Linked DNA regions of Lepisosteus oculatus. The protein of the gene in region 3 binds, or shares a complex with, the protein of the main gene of each other region. Links are inferred from orthologs where the notes say so. Each region holds a gene or a part of one and is shown on either strand. Other genes may lie near its edges.

Region 1 (7,736 bases), on a different chromosome or scaffold from region 3:
AACATTACACATCGCATCTACAGTATTGCATGTGCATAACTCGTCACAACACTGACATGACATAATGCACGGACATAGTCTGTTACAGCATAATCATTCAACCATTTATAATGTTTTAATTGCTTTAATAGATAAGGGAACAAACAAATATTTTTATCAATTTGATCTACATTTGGGAGCCCTAAAAGTTGATATTTAGAATTAAGAAAATGATTTCTTTCTGCCTGTCTAATGGACTGTTTAAGAATTGTCTGTGAGGAGGAGAGCTGCTTCATGTCCATAATTTTGACTGCTGTTTGTCTTTGGAAAAGACATTTTTTAACTTACCTGCACCGATAAATCACCGAACCATACTGTTATACCATATTTAATAACGCTCGTAATTACTATGTCGTTGCTGAGGATAATAGTTCGTGACCTACAGACTCACTTAAGTTGTCATATGGTCGAAGGTAGAAGCCACACTTAGATTAAAATTAAACAAGCGCAACAATTAGACCCAGTTCCAAAAAGTACACTGTATAGAAAGTACTATCACGTTTAAATAAAACAGGAGCGTTTCTGAACCTCATGATTGCCCGATGCCCCTAACCTGCCCCAGTAGGGCTTCCAAGACAGATCCTTAATACCGGCCTGAGCAGTGACACCCATCCCCAACCAATCTGTTCTGATTCAGAAGGGCAGGAAATAAGAATCTGGGACCAGTCATGGTCAGTTGGAAACTCCAACATGGTCTCTCTGCGCCGGGAACGCGGGTGGACGTGCCGTGACTGTCACTGTGTGTCGAACATGGATCGAATGAGAAACTGGGGAGATAGAAGGATTGATCACTCAGCCACGCTGGGTGGGGGGGGGTTAAACAGACGGCCCCCGCAGAGCCCGCGCTGGGCACTGCCAAAGCAGACCAAAAGCAATCGCTCAGAAACAGGCCGGAATAAAACCGGCGGCTGTGCGTTGTGTAACATCTTCCGCGGTTCTTAAAATAGCCAGGGCCCGCCTTTCTCGATCCATGCGACCACCTGTTGCCTACCCAGGGTCAGGTCAGTCACAGAGCGGCCCGGCGCCGCTCGGGATGCGACACTCGCGGTTCTGCGTGTGCGCACCTGCACACGCGTCATGTCACTCGTTACCGCTGTTGGGACACTGTGGCTCAGTCTCCGCAGAAACATGCACAGTTCATGCACACTCACGCAGCGGGAGAGAGAGAGACTGCGGGATGAGACTATGGGAGAAAGATAACGAGTGACTAATCCCTTATTGCCGGCAGGCATTTTCCTTCCAGTGGCAGACCCGGTGTGAATGTGGCAACGTATTCGCTGTCTGTCTCACCCCTGTCCGCTTGGGAACACATTTGTTTTATTTCCAGGATTATATCTTCTATTATTTTATTAACATATCCACATATTCTGAAGTCAATCCTAAGTATTTAAGGTCGAGGAACGGTCGGAAAACCTTTGCGTTTTCTGTAATGGAAAATTACATAAGGCTCTCTGTCTCCCTTTCCAGCCCACTGTATCGCAGAAGGCTGCGAGTCCAGTGTCGGGAAGCCGCTTATAACATGTCCATTACAGATCCGTCTTAAAACCTGGCAGCCTTTTTCCCGTCCGTGTTAACACACACTCTTGCGCTCCCTGAAATATCAGGGGTTTGGAAAGACATTTAACGTGAAAACCAACATCAGGAACCGGGCAGCGGTATAAGATCAGTTTCTGCTTGCGTTTAATGATAACGCTATAGCGGATCAAGAGGAAATGGCTGGGAACACACTGTATGAGCGAGCTCTCGCCGTGTTTGTGAGCTGTCGCTCAACAGCGGTCTGTACTTCAGCCTCTCAGGTAAATGAGGGCTGTGAAAGAGGTTTCGCCCCTTCACAATCATACCCGTCGGCTGTAATGCACGGGGGAGACCTACTGGGAAACAGATTGTCAAGCTGTACATGAGATACGGAGCTCCGAGATGCTAACAACCACCAAACCGGGGGTAGCGTTTATAACAGCAACTGTGCTCCTCATCCTGGTTATCGCGCTGCTAAGGTGTAGCGGTTTCAAGTGGGGGTGCCAAGGTTGTTTCTATATCGGGGCTGAACTCCTACTGCACTCCTCTTTAAAGCGCACATTTATGCCAAACTAACCAGGTCTTCCCTGAACAGAAAACTACCGATCTGCGGTGAAACTCCGACCCCTGACGGGCTGTATTTGATCCGTTCAGACAGGAAACAACGGGTGCAGATGAGAGTTTCCACGCCACGGAAGAGCCGAGCAGCGACGTCGCAGACTCTAGCTACCCCGTCGGTATCGCCCCAATGTGGCACCTAGGAAATACGGTCCCCGTCCGCCCTTCGGGTGCCGAACATTACCGGAGCGAGATACCGCGCACACGGGCATCCTTTAAGACCGGACGCCGCGACAGCGATGACGATAACTGCAATAACCGACGCCACTTACTTTCGGTGATCTTCTGCAACCCCAGCACATCCTCGGGGGTGATCACGGGTTTCCTGAGCAGTTCCTCCTCCGTGGTGACCGGGACCCCTGTTTCGGTGGAGTTACAGCCTTTCTTCACTCTCATTGCCACGAGTGGTTTGGGGGTCGGGGTGTCCTGGGTCTGGTGGTCGCTGCTCTCCGCGCTTCTGCCGCTGCCACCGCTGGGATTATTGCTTTTACTAGTGCCAGACCTCTGAGCGCTGCTGCTGGATGAGTCCTGGCTATTGCAGACAGCCTCTGTGCCGATACAAGAATAGCTCATTCTCCTCCTCCCCCCCACTAGTAAAGATACAAAACACTCTCCCCCCTCTCTCTCCCTCGCTCGCTCGCTCGCTCGCTCCCGTCAGTCGCTTCGCTGCTAGTGCGCCCGCTCGGTATTTTATTTAAATCCCCCTGTTCTACAGATCCTTTCCGTTTTCGGCCAGCGACTGCCCAGAGCATCCGCCGCCCGCGCCAGACTGCGCCTGTGCCGGCTCTGTGTTGAGCGCTAGCTCGCCGAGCGCCACTCTCTCCGGCCGAGACGCAAAGGAAGCGGTCTCTCCGCAACACAGACACTGACGGACGCGCACACGCCACAGACATGCACACGCTCTTGTACACAGTGGGGTCCCACTTAGTTTCCCCGGCTTTCGGAAAGGGAGAAGCCTTTATTTCTGGTGTCACAACGGCGGTAGCGCCAGCGGCCGGAGCGACCGGCGCACGTCTGGGGCGGCGAACGACAGATTCTGCAGCCAGACTCAGACGTGTTTGTCGCCATTCACGCCTGGATAATCGTGAAATGTATCTGCCTCTGTACCGAAACCTCCCCTCTCAGACTTGTGGTATGGCCCATTTTTCTGCGTTGGCAGGAAGCTGAGGAGAAGTTGTCGTTTTTTTTTTCTTCGCTCAGTGGGTTTGGGTAGCGATGTACCCGTGTCTCAGAGCTTGGCTTTGAACGTTTCCACGGGCACGCAGTTTGCAGTAATCTGCTCAAGACGTCGCCCTATTTATTATGAGGATTACGACCAAAATATTGAATAGAAATGTGTTACGTAGTTAACATCCACCATTTATTTATTACAGCTACACCACACAGCCCTTGTGAATAGCATTTCATGCCCCCCATACAGTATATATTCAGGAAGTGCAAAAGTCGGGACAATAAAATATCGCAGGAAACAAGTGGGCTAATCTACTTTTAATTTTCAAAGTGTAGCCCAAGATAAGTCACTGAAATGTGGTGTTTCTGCGCTACAGCCTTCGCTCCCCGTCTCCGGCGCTGAGGAGCTCTGAGGATCTCGCTGAACTTCTGGATAAATCCGTGTGATGAGTCCGAAACGAACAGAATGTCAGTGCAGGCGGCGGCGGCGGCGGCGCTGAAGTTCAGACATGACACCCGCCGCAGTAACGCCCGGATTTGAGCGACGACCAGCCGCCTCGATACAATCCCCGCCTGCCGTCATCCCAGCCGCCGGAGCTGTCCTGCCTGGCGAAGCACCTCGAAACCGCGAGTGTCGATGTGATCAATTCCAGCAATGACAAAGACGATCTCCCCTGCGCTTAACATCCGCTTAAGGTGGATGCTGGTGGTGGTGGAGGGGATCCCCATTACCTGTAAAGCGCTTTGAGTGGAGTGTCCAGAAAAGCGCTATATAAGTGTCAGCAATTATTATTATAATTAACATGCTGTCTCTCAGTCTGGTGGTGTGTTTCAGGGAGAAGCCCAGAATGTCGGATGCGCCCCTCGCTGCTGGCTCCTGTAGGAAGCCCCCCTGCGCTGTGCTCTCTCGGATCCCGTGAGTACCGCGGTGGGCGGCGACGCTCAAGAGACACGGCGCTGCCATACTTCGCCGAGACCGCGCTCGCTGTCGGTGTTGCGCGGGGAAAACTTCGGTTGTTGTTGTTTGTTTGTTTTTCGGGGAAACATTCAGGGCTCGTTCAGAAACCAGACTCAAGATGTGTCGTTAAAAGACTGTCCACATTTATTCAGGAATAGGATACACAAATTAAATGCAGTTGGCAGTGAGGGGGGTGGGGGACGCGAACGGGTGAATAAAATAATAAAAGCAGAAATAAAATCTAAGCGCAGGAGTCTCTGGCTGCGACATGCAGTAGCGTCGAGGTTCGGAATCTCTCTTTTTCCAGGCCCTGAAAAAAGCCTCAGATTTCCAGATACCAGCATCCCTGAGAAAGACACGGCTTTGCCAGAATCTCTAGGATCGCCCCCCTTGCAAAAGAGAAGGATAGGCAGCAGCTTTCCCTTGGGGCTCCCCAGCCATTTTCAGCAGCAGTTACTTCATTCTGTCTATAATTTGCACCCCCTTTTCCTAATCTCCCCAAAGAGCACCAGATATGTGCTCATGCCTGTCGGCAGCAGGGAACCTCAGTTCTGCTGCCAAAGGGCCCTTTGACCTTCAATTTCCCAGCTACCTAACAGACACATTTTTAGTGTGATCTCATCAGGAGCTTCGGCACCCCTTTCATGAACCGATTTTGGCTGGGAAACGCTGAACGAGATCCCGTGTGCAATCAGAATAATTGAGGGTGTAATCAGGCCACAAATCCAAACGCACACGGGTCCTCCGTGCGTGAGGAGGTCTGAAGGCCCTGCCCTAAGGGTCAAAGTTACATGGACAACCACAGAGGTCACAGTTGTGAAGAGAACGAGTCCTGGTACTGAAGTTCAGGAAACACTGCCCTCTGCTGGCCATGTGATTGCAGGGCTTGTCTTTGGAGACATTAAATCGCAAAGACTCACTCGCTTTTCATTGAAAAAACCGAGTATTGGTTTTCCTCCTGTCAGAAGTAAGCCACAAGGAAAAGTCCTGAGGGTGGATTTTCACTTACTTAAGCATTTCCGAACTTTCCATGGTTAAATATAACTTATCTGTTACACTTTCTGTCAATTGCGTTATGTTTCAAATACGGATGGACTGAAATCAAAACAAACAACTGAACAAAACAAAGGCTAAATGGTATATGAAGTATGATAATGATAAATAAAAAATCACTATTTTTAAAAAGTCCAATTTTGCAGAAGGGGAATTTCTTTAGCTCCCGAAACAGAATGCACAAACCAACCCATCAAGCGCTGTTCTTATCATTATTATAATTATTTTTGTTGTCATTATGAGGATAAAAAAAAATCAATTATATATGTCCAGTAAGCAAGAAACACTGTGGCTCCAGTCTTCTTTCAGAGTTGGGCAATAACTTTGGCAGAGGGCCGAATCGCAAGCACTGCCTTATGAACTAGCCGACCTCCTTTTGACTAAGGATCAGTGGCTCCCCCCCGTCTGCAAGCAGAGCTGTTCCCAGTAATGACACTAACAGCGGTGATGGCTGGTCTGTGAGGGGTGGACAGAGGGAGCTCAGCTGTGTGTGGAGCTCCAGTGTGTCGGCCCGGGGGCGGGCGGACCACTGGGGTCACTGTGGCCTTTCCTCAGGCCGTGAACTCAAAGCAGCCCCGGCGGTACCACTGCATGTCCTTCACTCGGCGGATGGACTGGATCTGGGGGTGCTGGCCGCCCCATTCGTTCCAGTGCTTGTAGGGCCCACACTCGAAGACGTACTGGTAGCCACGGTAACCGGGATACTGGTACCCCACCCAGCTACGGAGAGAGGGAGAAGAGAGAGTGAGAGCTGTGCCTTCACGAGCCTCCTGCGGAGAAGACGAAGCCCAAGCCTAGGATCGCCATGGAAAGTCGCTATATGAACTCCAGACTGACGACTGATTGAGACTCACGTTCCCCCCATGACTTGGATGCTGGCCACGCGGTCCTGGAAGCCATAAGACCACAGGCTGGGGATATCCTCGTCACACACCTCCATCTTGCGCCCCTCGAAGTTCACGCACTCGAACAGGCAGATCTTGTGGTCCTGGGCGTCCTAGAGAGAGAGCAGTCCGGGGGCTGCTGTCAAAGCACCACTTTTTCTTTCACGCGAAAAGAGTTTTTGCACAATTTTGCATTCCAGGCGCTAGACTCTGCAGCGCCCTTCTTGCGTAATCCCGATGCTTGTAGGAACCAGGTCTCTGCTGATGCATGTTGTGAACTTAAGTCATACTGAACGTATGACTGTGTTGAAAAACAACACTCATTAAGCCTCTCTATGCAGATTAAAAGTCATCTGTCTGAAGAAGCAGGCAGCATAGACTTGGTTATCCCCCATCTCCCATCTCATATTGTAAAAGAATTAATGAATTCCTCACACTTATATTGTGTTTTTTTGGTCACTCCACTCAAAGCGATTCACAGGTAATGGGGATCCCCTCCACCACCACCAGTGTGCAGCCCCACCTGGATGATGTGCCAGTCCTCTCACCACACACCAGCTCTCAGTGGGGAGGAGAGCAGAGCGATGAAGACAGTTCAGAGATGGGGATTATTAGGAGGCCATGACTGGTAAAGGCCAGGGGGAAATTTGGCCAGGACACAGGGGTAATACCCCTACGGGATTAATAAAGTATTATCTATCTATCTACTCTTTTCGAGAAATGCCCTGAGATTTGTAACGACCACAGAGAGTCAGGACTTCAGTTTTAGTCTCATCTGAAGGAAGGCGCCTTTATAATAAGAAGAACTATTATATAATATAAGAACTATTAATGACAACGTCCCGGTGTGACAGAACAGAGAGAGGCCTGAGAGCTCACCATACGGACTGGCCTGAAGGACATGAACCGGTCATTTCTGTAGCTGTTGGTCCAGGTGTCCCAGCGGGGATATTCTCCCTTCTCCAGCATGAACATCTCGCCGGTGAAGTTCTGTTGGTCGTACCCAACCCAGCTGGACAACAACAGGAGGACAACAAAATGGCGTCAAACACTCCACTGTAGCTACCAGCCTGCCAACACAGACTGGTGCAAAGTTCCCTTTCACAGCTTTGCAGGCTAACCCATCAGCCCTGATGAGGAAACATAGCCTCTGAGTTAAAGAGCTGTGGATCTACCACCGGGTTTACGGCCTGTGCTCTTGACACATTGGTGCTGACTGAGGATTGCCCACTCTTTGGGAATGCAATGTTGGTTAGGCATTTGACTCAAAAATATGAATTACAATAAAGAGGGAACACACCAGAAAAAAGCAGGCAGTTCGGTTACACAATTCTGTGTTTTTCAAAAGGATGTGGTTGGCAAATCTTCATTTTTTTGCATAGGGCGTGTACCATATTCTCCCAAGACCATACGTACAGAAGCACTGTAGCCCACGTCATCACAGCAGAGGCAGTTAAGTTATGGTTTTAGTCTAGATTCTGAGCTGAGGAAATGAAGTT
Region 2 (7,133 bases), on a different chromosome or scaffold from region 3:
ATCTTTTTTAGACTTATAAAACTTCTGTTGTTGCTGCAGATTTCTGACATGACCATACCTTCTTATATGTTAAATACTGTAGCTCTGCATTAAGTAGTTTTATATATTCTATAAGCACACAGTAATACTGAATATATTTATATTTAGGTTATTGAAAGAGCTATGGTACACTTTCTATAAAAAATAGTTACATGTTTTTCTTTAATTCAATTTCTTGACATATTCAGGTAACCCGAATATAAGCCTGACAAGATATTCTTAGTGGTTTCCCATATTTGGCAGTAAAGTAACACATCCACTAAATGTAGCTCATTCCTAATGACAGCAAATATTCAACTCTATTCAAGACATTGCTGGGTTGTGTCCTGCAGAACATGATTTTAGAAGCTTGTCCTTTCCCTTTCTATATTGTGCAATTAAGAACATTGCATAAATAGCTACTAAAAAAAAACACTGAAAAGGCTGTTCAAAAGCAAGTTGCAATGTTGAAGAATACCGCAGAAGAGCTTCTTTGGCTACTAAGCAGTGGAGAGCAGCTGAGATGACAACACAAAATGAATGGGTCCGTGTATCTGTTGCCTTATGTTTTTCTGGTTCTTGTCCCATGCAAAATCAACAACCTAAACTTAGGTCAGATGTTTTACTGTATTCAAACTGACCTTAGCGAACGCTTGACAGTATTCAGAAGGAGAATGAGCTCAGCAAGGTGAAAGCGGTATAAGGATTCACGTGTCACTGTGTCTCTCTACCTTGCACGTGTGCTGAGTCCTCCCTGTTATCTGTCTGTTAATCACTGCAGGCCAGTGATGTAATGGGCTGCCTTTATGCAGTTTTTGAGAGGTTTTTCTAGTTTCGATCATCACCTGCTGACAGGGGGAATGATCCATTTGCTCCAAGCTCAGTGAAGTTAAAGTTCAAGGTACCATGGGGGTCTTATTTAGTTGTATCCGATCAGAAACACTACATGACTAGAGTTTTGTTGAAGATATCCTGCCGCTATTGCCTAACATGTTACCTACAACATTCGTTTCTTCCTTTTCAGGATTTAATTTTTCAATTACCTGTAACACGACCTGGCTGAGGTTGGTGTGGCAGTGAGCTCTTGGGTCCTGGATTTGGGGTGTGTTTCTGTAAGGTGCCTGCATGTTCTCCCCCATGATTAGATGTTCACTGGGTGCTCTATATGTCACCCATATCCTAGTATTCTTTCTCTGGAAGAAATGCATTTTACGAAAACATTAGCTCCAAGCATTAAAATCTGTCTGCTGCCCTGGGGGGAATTTTCTCATCCAGTCTACCCATCTGTAGTGCAATCATTGGCTACCCATCTGTAGTGCAATCATTGGCAGTCTGGCTTGTTCTTCACTAATCCATCTCAGTTTGTGTGAATGGATTTATCCCCTGTAATTGAGTGCAGTTATTGATTGAGACCTTCTGACATCTGCCCTGAAAGCACTAGCAGAAATGGCTAACTCCAGCCCCCAGTAGCCTGGGGCAACTAACAGGGGCTGTTGATTCCACAGCCGTATCGAGGTGGTGACCTCCAGATTTCTTCATGTCTGTGATGAAATAGGAATGAACAGAAGAGGTTAAGGATCGGTAAATGTAACATGTTAATAAAATTAAAATGATATACTGTATTTGTATTAGTATTGCACAGAACAAAGTCATATGCGTCATAAATAATTCAATTAATTCCAGAAAACATACGGGTCATGTAATGTTAAGATAAAAACAAATTGTACGGAAGAAATAAGAAACTGTCCTATATACCCCAAAGAGCAATAACAGTAATCTTTTTCATTACACTTAGTGTTGTAATGAATTACCCTGCATAAAGAAGGTTGTATCTGCCTGAATATGGTTACTTTGTAAAAGAAACTGAAAAAGAGGGCATTTTTGGTTCCATTATTTCAGTGCAAATCTTAATTTGAGTGTAAAATAGTACAGATAGCCAATATCAAAATTCAGAAGTTTATTTGTTTTTAGAACACTTATTTACACATAATAAGTTGAATTGTTTTCACTTTTTTTCTCAAATGAAATAATTATACATATCAATAATACATTTATAATACAAGGACAAACAACTAATGTTTAAAAAATCCAAAAGAAACATTTAGACTTAATCTAGGATCTCTTAGATTAGCACCCTGTAGTATTTGTAGAACTAATTTAGGCTGTGTAATTTTCTTACTAAACAAAAACATCAGCATAACAAGATGCCAACATTCATGAATCTGGCCCAATATTTGTTAAAGACAATCAAAGCAAATGTCCAATTGAAGACACAGTTCAAAACATTTCTGCTTGATTTCCACAGGTTGCGCAACATTACTGCATCGCTTAGCTGATGCAAAGTTTATTTATAAATTAGTTGGCTGTTGACATGCCAGGGGTTCATTTTGTTACCATGGACAGATGCAGATGACCAGATTAGTAAATGAACCAAAATAATCCAGGTCACAGCCTCTCAAAATGTAATTACACAGACCAGACTAATTGGAAAATAAATAGAATTGGTACTTTAGGACTAATCATTTTTTTCTGATTAGGCTAAGACATTTATTATAGTACATCTCAGTGATGGCAAGATTATCACAGGGTGTAATCCTTCACTTGAATGGAGGTTTACATACACGTCTCGTGAAAGATTACCTGGCAAGACTAATTAATTCAATCTTCTGGACTGCTGAGGAGCGCAGTTTCTAGTTCATCATTATTAGGACAGAATAGAAAGAGGTTCCTAATACATTTGCAGAAGGTCTTCATTACATAATAGTTCTTAATAGTTTCTACACCTGTTCACATAACACTAGAGTTTTCCAGAAAGTTCTTGCAACCAATGAAACCCAGGAAGTTTTGCACAGAAACGTCTACGTTTTCAAACGTGGGGGGGCAGGGGGGGAGAGGGGGATTACCTCTGCCAAAATGTGATATATAACATTAATTCAGATGTTTTGGTGTTACCATCTCTTAGTATGGTTTGACCTTACAAAAGAGAACCATTAATCTTTACAGAAAAAAATCTGTTTTTTTTACCCATTTTTTCCTATACGTGGGGCAAATTTTTGGAGGGGGATTGTGGAAATCTTAACCTGACAGAACGCTTCTCTTGATGTGTCCAATTTAATTTCATGTTACAAAATGATAAGAGGCTAAAGAAATGCAATCGAAATATATGACTTTGACTTAATACACTAATAAACTAATACAATTTTTATCAGTTATACAATTTTAAGACTATGCTCAAATATATATTTTTTGTGGTGTAAAAGCACTAAAAAAACATACAAGAAATTTTCCATAAACATGTTAAGCTTTTAAAGTATTATTCACTGATTTTGCTTAAAGTAGCCATGCACTGCAGCAATTAATTGATCAATATCATATGTAGAGAAGCTAAAATTGTACTCTCATCTGCAATTACTGGAAAACAAAATGACAAAAGTACAATAGGTGTTATCTTAAATTTTAAAAAATCAAATCCATCAATTAGACCTCAAAGAAAGAATAAAAGCTCAGTACATCACGCTTTTACACCATCAACTGAATGTCACATAAAATAAAAGAAGAGTGTACTTTTGCCTTCTCCACTGTCTATCAGAGTGTTAAAGAAAGATACAGTATCTGGCATAAACAGATACTGTACATTTTAAATTATACTGCAATTCCAAACTCTAAAGTGTCAAAATCTGTAAAAATACAGCTCTACATTTCTGTCTCCAGAAATACACATCTTGTTAAAAATATACAGCTCAAATACACCTGACAGGTCTCTTTCCTATTCTTTCCTGTACCAATAATACACAGCAGGCTGTGATTTGAGCCCTTTGTCTTTAGGGCAATGTATTCAATGTTTTATTTTTCCAAACCATGGTGGAAAAGCAGCTTCACTACGTCTAAGACCCAACCCTGAGGCCAGTAAGATGACAGTGTCCTTCATGCTACAGCCAGCGCTCTGCCACCCCACCCACCCCCACCACCTCATCTCTCCCTGCTGTTGGTATCAGCTGTGATGACAGCGGATCAACAGCTCATTTCTAATCTCCTTACGAGCACAGGTATAAGAGGCAGGCAGGCCAGACTCCATGCTCAGAGCAACCCTAGCTTAGAGAAGCAAACCGCGGCCAGTGAGAGCTGGTTTGGGCTCTCGCCTTTGTCTGGCAAATGGTCACCGCCGCATAGACGGTAAGTCCAAGGCTCTGGGTCGAGCAAGGGAACAAAAAGCTGACTCCGGCGGAACGAGACTGACAGATGCAACTGAAGTTGGGTAGCTGTGCACTTGGGAAGCATGAGTGTAGGGGCATTTGAAAGTGACAGAGGAGGCTGTGCTTGAATATTTGCATTCAATTGGCTTGAGTAAGGAGATGAGGTACTGTAGGTGATGAGGTGTTTAGTTTATCTGTAACCAAATAGCCTGTCTCCATAGTTCAGAAAATTTGGTCCACTTTCCATGCAATCCTAGGGGTCAATGGAAGTAGACTGTGCTTTTTACTTTGGGTATTTTCTGTCTCTCATGGTAGAAAACGTAGTGGGATTAAGTAAATTCAGCCTGTGAACATTTTTCCTTGCACAAGGTTGCATTCAGATAGTCAGTAGGTAAGAGACTCTGGGATAAAACACTAGAGAGGGTTAGGATGTATCATACAAAGACCTGAAACATGGACTATTTCAGAGTGACACCAAGATGCAAATGCAGTTGGGTGATGGGAGAAGTCTAAAGGGATAGAACGTATTGTGTTTCTTCCGCACCAAATGCTTTATAACATGGCAGCACTAGTTCAGGCAGTACTTTCTGGGACTGAGTTCAGATTACCGGCAGCCTTACTGGCATATTACTAAAAACCTTGTCAAGATAACAGCATGCTACAATGTGCATCTAGCTTCCATTTATCGTCTCCTGATATGTGCCCGACATAATATTTAAACATTTCAGGTGATCCAGGTTGGGTTGTTTATTGAGATTTATTGAAGATTAACTAGATGGGACTGACTGGGATAGGCTTACTGTGGAGCAGGTTGGTTTTCATCAAATGCGTGGAATATGTAAACTCTCACTGTTGAAGTGTTTCAAGGCTGTGAATTGTTTTGGTCACATCTGATTATTTACACAGACGGAGCTCATGAGTACACAGTAAGGCAGAGCAGGTACCAGTTGAGTAAATACTCACGTAAAAGCTGGTGAAATCCTGCTGGAATTAAAATGTTCATGTTTCTTTGGAGAAATTAGGAAACTGAAGGGTGTGCATTTAGTGGGTTTGATTAAAGAGAAGGGTTCTAGGGTGAAATGTTTAAACTTATTAGTTTAAATTTATTAGTAATAATGTAGACTTCCTTCTTTTAATAGTTCAGAGATTTTTTCCACTTTCCATATAATCCTACAGGTAATCAGTAATAGTTATGCAGTATATATGAGAAAACAATGCATGTTCATGTTTTAAGCAAATTCTGGCAGTGAATTTACATTTTTTCTCTGCACAAGATTTAATGTGCCTGTATGAGGAAGAGGGTTTTTTTGTCATCCAGGAAGAGAGATAACATTGAAACAGTTATGGTTGTCAAGGAAATGGATTATGATAAATTTTTTATTTTCTTTAGGGGTGGGGACCACAAATAAACACAAATAAAAGTCCATAAAAGCAGTTTCAGGGAGTTTTGTTATATCTTGCACAGCGTATGTAATTTCTTTGTGTAAAGCATGCAGGTTGTGCATTCAGTGTGCAGATATTTAGAATCCCCCGGTCAAAGAAACAGATGTTTCTGGTTGCAGACTATATACATATATACTTGAGGAACATGAGACAGAATTGGTTTGTTCCTTCTGTCTCTTTCCCTAGTCAAACAATTCCTTTATTCCAATCCTGCTGAAAACCACTATAAAATGTACAATCCAGCTCCACAAACTTTTAGCTCCATCATAGCTCTGACTGAAGGCAATCTTGATAAAACTGTAAAATGATATTAGGCTGCAAATATGTGAAACTCCTATTGGAATGTATGCCAACTTCTGTTCAAACTGGTTTTCTGCTTGCAGATTCCCAAGCTGCTATTTCCCAGGGGTTCCTGATATTAAATGGAGCCCCAATGGTCTCTTGGTTTATCTGTCACTTAAGATCACGTTGCATATTGGTTAGCACGTTCTTTACATAAAAACAAAGAAAAAGGAACAGTAGGAGAGGCAGCAAATTCATTAAATCAAAGTGATCACCTAAACTACAATGAAACAGACATCTATAATCTGTTTAGCCACATGCAGGGATAAACTGTCTCAGTGTAAGGAGATCTGAACTAAACAGGCCCTAAAATTAGCATACAATATTGTGTTGTCGGATGTTGTCGGAGTGCGAGGATGCAAATTGAATTGAGAAATGCACGTGTCGCTCAGATTACCATGTAAACAGCTGTGCAGGAAGAGCATCTTTTGGAGATTAAAGAGATTTAGAGAGATTTTTGACACTTCAGCACATTTTATGTACAACAGGTATTAAAGCTGGGAGGGTGTAGCACTCAGAACCATAGAGACCACAACAACAGAAACTAGATCTAGCATATATCTGAGGTAAGGCTTTCCAAATGGGCTATGCTGTCAACAATATGCATGTTTATAAATATTGCTAAAGATAGTGGTAGCAACTGAACTGGCATTGCTTTATTTTAAATAATCATCATTTCTCCTTCTGACCTTAGTCAGTAACAACTACAAGTGCCAAAATTGCTGTGTTTTCTTCTTCCTTCTTATTACTTCATATTTTTGGTTCCACAGTGGACATATAATCTTGCTTAGATTTGTATCTCAGAAAAAGAGTTTCCTTTTGTTGAGTGTGCAGCTGTTGTTACAGGTGATGCTGAAGAATGGAATTAATGGCCAGTTTAGTGAACCAGTTCTGAAGGCTTTTTGTGTGGATGAGGGAATGAAGAGAGACAATGAAATGCATTAGGATTTCCCTAGGTGCTTGAACTAGGAGTGGATAAGCCAAATTTGTTAATTACATTATTACTGCTTTGAACAATTTGCTCATCTGAATAAGAAAGGTCTATAAAAGCAAATTGTAGCTGAGAAGATTGGTATGTTGACAACAGAAATGGTTGACAATGTTTTCAATTGTACAATTGTTTTAAATAACAATTTT
Region 3 (8,027 bases):
GGGAAGGCTAGTCAATGCTAGGTGCATGAATATGTGCTCTTAAGTAAAACTCACAGAGTTTTTGCATTATCTGTGATGTTGCATGCATTGAGTATCGTACATATGTTAATGTAAGCTAATAGTAGCCTATTCGTGAACAAAAAGAAATATTCAAATGATTGTGGAAAGAAATATTGGCAATTCTACAAAACAGGATTTTGAATTTGCAGTCCAGCATAGAGGACCTGTTGTAAAAAAGGTGTTTTGTTTTCACACCATTTGCAACTAAAGAATGACAGTGTCTGTATTCATTTGTATCAAAGTAAGTCTTATAGTTAGCGTGAATTCACACAAAAACATTTCTTAAATATGGAAGGCCTCAGCCAGTTTCCCAACACAGAGTGTGTCTGTGTACTTTGCATTTGGGACATTTATAAATAACAAGAGAGTATAGTGTCCAGATAGAGGAGCTACAGGTTTTTAAACATGTACCGCTAGCAGGGATTGTGATAAGGGCATGCCAAGCTAATTATTTCTGGACTAAGCCTTTTAAGTCAGGACACAGATAGAGTGCGTCATGGGGAGCTCTTTAAGCACTCTTTTATCTCTTGATCCATATTTGCATGGGATACTTCGAGTCACTAAATATCGATCACAGCAGAAGCTATTTCTCGCCTTAATAGGTTTTTTACAACCTGTGGGTATCCCCACGGCTGGTCTGGATATGATACAGTAGCCCAACAAAAATAAAGCCCTCATGCTACAGATGATTGCTGCCTCCTCTAGTTGTGTTCTGAATAGACTGCTCTGAATATCTGTATAAAAATGAAACTCTTGTCATTTTGACTTCTCTACAGAAATCTGAAGCCTCAGTTACATTGTACCAGTCTGGAGGATAAACACATAGCAGGAAGGCCCAACCTGGGCACTGAATACTGTATGTCCAGGTATGTGTTGAATCCTTACTTAACATTCTGGTCCTGACCTAAGTAGAATTACAAAGAGCTTTTTTTTAAGTAACCCACTTATGTCTTTCAATGTACTGTAACAATGGTTTAATATCGGGAGCGTGTCTTTCAGAGTGAACACTACTACAAAAAATAAATTAAAATTATCAACTTATTTCACACATTATGAAATGGAAAGAATGTCTTGTTTCTCCAATAAAAGTGTACTAGCTCAAAGTGTACTGTAGAATACAGAATACAATAGTACAGAATGATTAACAATAAAATGACATATGTAACAATATACAGCATACAGTATTATCCTTTCTACGTATAAGAAGAAGTGACCATAACATCAGCTGTGTAGTTCAAATAAATTTTAGGAGTAAGACTGTAGTTCCTGCCGATTCATAGGCATAAATACGGGCCTCTAGTCCAATGTAGTGTTTTTGGTGTTAATACATCTCTTCCACCCTAATTCACCACCACTAAGCCAGCAAAGAGAGAACAATGACAAAAACCACCATAGGAAAAGCCTAAGAACAGCTGAGCTTCCAGCCTCAAGAAAGGTTTTAGGGTGTATTTTACTTAATCATGTGTTTCTGAGGTGTTACACAGGAGTACTGGGTTTGTCTGGTCAAGGCTACTGCATATGATTTTGTTGTAATCACATAGTGATATACAGTAAATAAAGGATTTTTTTACATTCCTTAGAACATTATTTAACAATATCTGTTAGGATATATTTGAGTTTTAAATGTTGTTAGTGAATGCATTTAAATAATTTGAGCACATAATTGGGATTAAAGCATTGTTTGGCTTGAGGCCGTTAGATGGTGTCAGGGTTCCTCATTTTACAGTGATTTATTGTACATCTTTACCCAAATGCGGTGGACATGGTTTAAAAGCCTGTAGGGTTCATGAGATTACTGTAGGTTGATACATTTGGAGAATGTAGGACTTGTTGTTTCCAAGTAGGGGAGTATTGTGACTAGTTCCAAAATGAATCAAACACAAATTCAGAGCTAGAACAGGCCGAAAAGCAGCCACTTACATTTAGATGTAGTGGTAAAAAGGAGTCACTGTAGCTTTAGAACATTGAGGCTACATTTTCTCTGTACCTTTTTAAGGTGTTAGACAGATATTTGCATTTTGCTTTCCAAACTTTTTTGCAAAAAAGAAACGCGTACAACAATAACCTTTGCACTGTATTTTTGCCTTATTTTGTTAAGAAAATTCTGGTCCGAGCAAATGTATACCACATTATCTTTGCTTTTTGAAAACAAAATCATCTGCCACACTGTTGGAGATATGAAAGCAAGATGCTATTGTAAGCCAATTATCTGATTGTAGACAGCAACAAAAATACAGGCAGAACACCACTAGATTTAAATGAGCCTATCTTTCCAAAGAAACCCACCATCACTTATTCTAATCCAAAGGATAGTCAAACAAACTGCAGTTCTGAATGCCACAGAATCCTAGGAAAGGTGTCTCCTGATTTCATGCCCAGGAAAAGATTTGCCCAGTAGATTTTTTTTTGCCTAACTAACTCTTAAGATTAGTGAATTCCACAGAATGCAAGTGAATTCTGTACAACCTTCACCAGTAGTGTAAACCCTCAGAACAAACTCCCTCAAAGCAGAGTCTTATTGGTTTTCCCTCTTGCACTAGATAGGGGAAACAAGAAAGCTTATATTAGTAAACACAGCGCCTTGCCCTGCACAAGTCAGACTTTACCCAGCAGCAGCAGTTTGACAGTCCTGGCATCCTTGTCCGCATCTTCCTTGAGCTTCTTCTCCAGCTCTCTGGAGTGTTTCTCCTCAGCGCTGGCACCTGCTCCCATCCTGGAACCTTTGGGCTTGTTTTTTTGACCGACGAGAATGAAGTTGGGGAGTTTTTCTCAATGAGATCAAAAATGAAATTGGGGGGGAGGGGGGGAGGCCTCAGGTGAGTCCTTGATGGCCGGTTCACCGTCCGAAGCCTTCTCTGGCCTCAGCGACGCAGCTGGGACATCAACTGCCTCTCGCTTGCCTGCAAATGTCGGCGTCTTTTACTTCTTAGACGGATTTCGTGTACCCCTGGAGTCACCTGGTTCTCGGCAGCCAACAGGAGACAAGGACAGGGTAGTGAGGGGTAACTAGGAAAAAGTGAAAGGATGGAGGGGGGAGGTGGGGCAGGAGAATTAGAAAAAGATTTAGGCAGAGTTTGCTTTGCTCAGCTGAAGGTGCAGAATGTGATGCAGTTAAGTCGACTAAACCGCTTACCTTCAATTATATACACACGCATGCTCATTAAGCAGTGCATAGGCAGTGTAACAGTGCAAGGCTTTTAATTGCTCTGTGCACGCTGTAGTTTAGTTTAATGCTTGGATAGGGGAAATCGGACAACCTGATTCATGGAAGATGAGGTGACTTGTGTTATAGAAGCTAATGAACGGTTGAAGCCTTTGATCTCGCACACCTCAAAGGCTATTGTAAAGCCTGTTGAAAGGAATTCAGTCCTTAAACACAATTTTTCTAATATGAAAGTAATCTAGACTGGTGCGGAGTTGGGGCCTGAACTGTAGTAATAAACATTGCAAACTGTGGTGCTTGACATACTGATGGAAAAGTAGACAATTGATAATTGTCCAGAAGGAGTTTAGTCATCTGTAGAGTGGGAAGTAAATGTTATTGAATTGTATTGAAAAGTGCTCTTTTTTTCAGTGTTGGGAATGGCTTAATGAGGAGATATTGAATAATGCATGAAACCCCAGAGTGCCTCTTTTTTATGAATCCATAAATTAGGCATTCATTTATAGTGATGGGGAAGGGACACACAGCCCTTGAGTACTGGGGTAATAATGTGATAGATTCAACATACAAAAACACTAGATGTGTGTGAGAGAGAATGGGCTTGACATACAGGTCTCCATCTCAGCCATTTTTGGTGTCATCTCGACCTCACACTTGATACCCATGGTCCTCAGAAACAGGCTGCAATGCTAAGGTCACTGACGATACACTCTGTCAGAACTGCAGGCAGGCCAGTCCTTCTGACAGCAGCCCAAGGTGTAGAAAAGGGATATCCACTTGTCTCTTTACATGTTTTCATTCAATACCAGTACTGTATGTGATTCAAAGTGAGTCAAAAATAATCTTGCTAAATCTGTGTGAAGTGTCTTAAGATTTAAACAGTGGCTGTATGAACAGTTTTCAGGACACACAAACCTGTGGTGACAGCTGTGCCATTCTTCACAAATATTAAAAAGGTCTCCATTTTAAGAGCATGGTGTTTTTCGTGTCATTGTATTGAAATGGCAATGAATTTAGAATCCCCCTTTCCCTCCTTGTGTTATCACTGCAGATTGAAGGAGTTTTTCAAGGCTTACTCCCAAATCTCTTGAGGTGCTTAAAGGGGAGCTTTAATGTCTCACCTGCCAGCTCTTATTGACCTCAATCTGTGGATGCAAAAAGAGCTTTATCCACAGCCTGTCCTAGAGGGTCTCATTGAAGAGACCTTCATCCTCCAGCTGAACTGACTATAGCAGGATATTTATATATATTTATATATAGTTCAGGTGGGTACCTGAAGAAGGCTCCACGGCCGAAACGTTGTGTTCTCTTTCTTCTTTTTTTCAGCATGGAATAAACCTATTACTTGTTCCTCAGTTTTATTATGTGCAATATTGAGGCAGAAATGTGAACACCTTGTTGACAATTTAGTGATTGATTTCCCTGCATGTAGTGCTAGCAGTCTTGCAGTGAAAAGTGCTGTCAGCTCTCAGGTTTTTACCTAGTGGCATCACCTTTTGTCAGACATTTGATATTAATATGAGAAAATGACTGCAGAATATGGTGCGAACTATCTGTCACAGGAGAATTTGGATAGAATTAGTGTGAAACATTTTGGAAAGGGTGAACAAATGTGAGAGTGCTGTGAACTGAATGATACCACTGTCTGCTGTCTGAGAGAACCATGTGACCAGAATTGATATGCAAGGACAGTCGACAAAGGTTGCTCTTCCTATTATCCACAAAGGTTTGCAAAGTGCCCTAGGGCAGATGTTCAGTAATTAACACAAGACTCTTGCAAATATGCCAGGCTTCTCTTTTGGTTCCTTTATGGCTCCCAGCACTGGTGTCATTCAGCACCATGACAACACACACCCTCACAGGGAGCAGTGCATGGAGGAGCTTGCTGTTGAAAGGTGACTAGACCAGTCAACCTATTGTATGAGCTGTTGTGGTGGGGGGGGTCTCATCGTCCCCACCTGTGAAGCATATTTGGTAGAAATTTAACTTTCATAAATTCCCTTAATGATTAACTGTCGTAGTGGAATAACTTTAATACCTATAGTGCCTCTGCCTTTTATCATTAATTTGTTGTCATTAGTTCTAGCTGTTTGCTAGAACAAAAGCTAGTCCAGTGCTTTTGTGAGATAAAAGAAGGTGATATTGAAAGGTTTACATTGTTCTGGAGGTTTTTCTATGCAGTAAAGGTTGTGTTAGTGAGGTGGTTAAGGAGGCTTCTTGTGATTATTATACTTGTGACAGACAGCGAGGCAATTCTTCCATCATTTCTACAGTTTTTCATTTACCTGTGCGCATAAAAACATTCCATTCTTAATCTGAAACTGAATTCTTAAATCAGTTAACATGATGTTATTCACCAAATTTACATTTATAATGTTTCAAATGTGTATCCTGCTTTGCGGCCGTAGTTTGCTGAGATAGGCCTCAGCTCCCCTGTGACCTTGTATTGGAGGAAGTGGTTAGAAAATGGATGGATACGTCACATGCTCAAAATGTAGTTGGCATTCACTGTAGTTGACACATTAAGACTTAGGAATTTTTCAACAGCTGTGTTCCTCGGTAAACCATGGTACCATTGAATAAAATCACAGTGCAACCTTCATGCTGCTTTAACCAGTCCAGTCCAAATCCGTTATGTATCATCCTGAGAAAGATACAATACAGAATGTGTTGTGTTCTGTTCCTTCAGTTGTATACTGTTCAGTCAAACATCTTCATCATCCAGGGCAGATGGTTAGTGGCTAAGTGGCTCGTGACAATTTCAGATTGCAGCTGTCGACATTTTTTAAAATCAGAATCAGACATTTCAAGATTGACGGGTATCAGCAACGTCTCACAACTCCCTCAGCATGCGCTCAATATTGAAATGTAACTTGGGTGATGTTGGACTAATGAATTTAGATATGAAAATGGCTGCACTGAAATATCAAAATGCAGCCACAAAGTTCTACTGGTTTGGTTACAAATTAAACCTGTTAAGCCCAAACTTTGTATTGATTATCTTGGGGCAAATAGAATTATAATGCTTAAAAATCATACTGCTGTGTAAAGTAACTGTTGTAATAACAGGTATCAGGTATCATCCATGCACAATAGTATTCAAATTCTGGAATGAAATTAATCAACAAATTAATCAACATTTTTCCTAAACTGCTGTTTTATCCTTGGTAAAATGTGATTCATATTACTTTTCTATATTTTTTTATCTTCCCTGATTACACTAGTCATGCTGATAAGTATGATAACGAATACTGTAATTATATCATAATAAATACTGTGAGTCTTTGCTGCCATCTTGTGATTATTAAACTGAACATAGCAGTCTTTTTTTAGACAACTACATTTCTAAATTGGTCATCATCTTTGAAAAGGATACTGTAACTCTTTATAGACTTACAGTGGAAATACTACTTCCAGCAGCAACAGTATTTGAATTTTCTTTTTTATTCTAACTAAAATCAGTGTAGGTAAATATTACCAATAGTTAAACACTTGTACAATGCTGCAGTTTAATTTTGAAAAGCGATAGGAAAATAGGAGGCAACTTTTCTGGCTTATGGGGCTGGGGGATTCGTCTTAAAATGTATTACCATCTAAACAATCATTTCTTCTTGCATCTTAAAATAACAATAAATCATTTTTTTACTACTAATGAAGACATCATTAATAGTAAGAACACTATCCTTTGTGTTATATGCTCCTCTTTAGTTATTTATGGGGTCACAATGTCTAGTGAAACAGAATCTCCGTCAATATGAAGTACTGAAATGCATTTCATTCTAATTAGCACAACCTATTAATTATAATTATTGTCTAATGTTTTGCATGTCCCCACTAAGCATTCATGTCTCAGTAAAGAGTTTGAAAAACATTTGAATTCTGAGGCTGAAGCTTATTTGATTTGAATTATTTTGAAGATCCCAAGAACACGATGAAGCAAGCAAAAACTGAGACCACATTTTCAGTAGTCATTTAATTTTGTGCTATTTGTTAACAAATCATTGGTTTATTTTTAAATGTACTTTTCTGCTAGTCTCCTTTTCAACTTGCTGCTTTAGAACTAACTATGCCATGTGTACCTGAGTTCAATGGCTGATAAACATTTCTGTCCTTGGAAACCTAAATTAAGAGTACTAGCAGCAAATGTAAAAGTAACTAAAGTGAATTTCATTAAAATTTGTATCCAATTGCTCATCTGTTCTTTGTATTCAGTTTTTATCTTAAATAACACAGGCTGCTAACATGTCATATCTTGTTTAAATTTCATGAAAAACCCTAGTAAACTCAGTTTGCCTGCCCGTGCTCATTGTGAGAAGTACTTTGATCTCCAATTGACCAAGGTATGTACAGTAGTATCCAGTTTTGAATAATATAGCATTCAGGAATTATTTTACTGGAAACAGTTTCTGTATTCTTATGCATTTCACAATAGCATTCAAAAAAGTTTATTTTTGTAATAACTTGTAAGGACAGTCTCTTAGGCTTGTGTTAAAGGGAACACTTTTCTCTTACACTGTATCGTGAGTGTTGTCTAGTGGACAGTGTTCTCTATCAGTTGGAATCCGGTTATATGGGTGACAAAGATCGTCATTTCCATCAAATCATGTTCAAAGTTTCTTGCTGCAGTTGTCTCATTTGTAGTCATGGGCAGTTAAGGTACAACAGTGTTGGTAGAGTTTGCATTGAAACAGGATAAGGACATCTGGCCTAGATGTTGCTATTTTGTTGATCACGAGGGTGACAATTGAGGATCTCAGATAAAAAACTAAACAGAGATGTTACTTTTGACAGGTATTCAGTTATG

The links.
Region 1: the proteins of gnat1 (region 3) and unc119a1 are in contact, whole or in part, in a crystal structure (PDB 3RBQ), measured with the Homo sapiens proteins. The link is inferred for Lepisosteus oculatus from reciprocal best matches to the Homo sapiens genes GNAT1 and UNC119. Residues at the interface, in NP_000163.2 of Homo sapiens: Gly2, Ala3, Gly4, Ala5, Ser6, Ala7, Glu8; in NP_005139.1 of Homo sapiens: Asp87, Phe88, Val89, Arg90, Phe91, Ile105, Lys106, Lys107, Gly126, Arg127, Phe128, Val129, Tyr131, Phe137, Val147, Glu163, Leu172, Ser218, Tyr220, Asn230.
Region 2: the proteins of gnat1 (region 3) and pde6gb are in contact, whole or in part, in a cryo-EM structure (PDB 7JSN), measured with the Bos taurus proteins. The link is inferred for Lepisosteus oculatus from reciprocal best matches to the Homo sapiens genes GNAT1 and PDE6G. Residues at the interface, in NP_851365.1 of Bos taurus: Ser140, Arg201, Arg204, Lys205, Trp207, Ile208, Phe211, Asp227, Val229, Glu235, Val236, Asn237, His240, Glu241, His244, Leu245, Ser248, Ile249, Ile281, Phe283, Glu305, Leu306, Met308; in NP_776846.1 of Bos taurus: Arg36, Gln37, Phe38, Lys39, Ser40, Lys41, Pro42, Pro43, Lys45, Leu60, Val66, Ile67, Cys68, Pro69, Trp70, Glu71, Phe73, Asn74, His75, Leu76, Glu77, Leu78.

The regions. Positions count from the first base shown.
Region 1 is NC_090721.1:8,823,737-8,831,472, forward strand, and holds the start of unc119a1 (protein unc-119 homolog A), read right to left. Parts: upstream 3,046-7,736; 5' UTR 2,746-3,045; coding exon 2,445-2,745; intron 1-2,444. Other genes in the region: crybb1l3 (crystallin, beta B1, like 3), read right to left, coding at 5,905-6,073, 6,208-6,350, 7,117-7,249. UniProt on the Homo sapiens protein: Involved in synaptic functions in photoreceptor cells, the signal transduction in immune cells as a Src family kinase activator, endosome recycling, the uptake of bacteria and endocytosis, protein trafficking in sensory neurons and as lipid-binding chaperone with specificity for a diverse subset of myristoylated proteins.
Region 2 is NC_090704.1:42,805,164-42,812,296, reverse strand, and holds the start of pde6gb (phosphodiesterase 6G, cGMP-specific, rod, gamma, paralog b), read left to right. Parts: upstream 1-4,080; 5' UTR 4,081-4,191; intron 4,192-6,467; exon of another isoform or gene 6,468-6,562; intron 6,563-7,133.
Region 3 is NC_090699.1:54,668,195-54,676,221, reverse strand, and holds the start of gnat1 (guanine nucleotide-binding protein G(t) subunit alpha-1), read right to left. Parts: upstream 3,046-8,027; 5' UTR 2,773-3,045; coding exon 2,667-2,772; intron 1-2,666. UniProt on the Homo sapiens protein: Functions as a signal transducer for the rod photoreceptor RHO. Required for normal RHO-mediated light perception by the retina.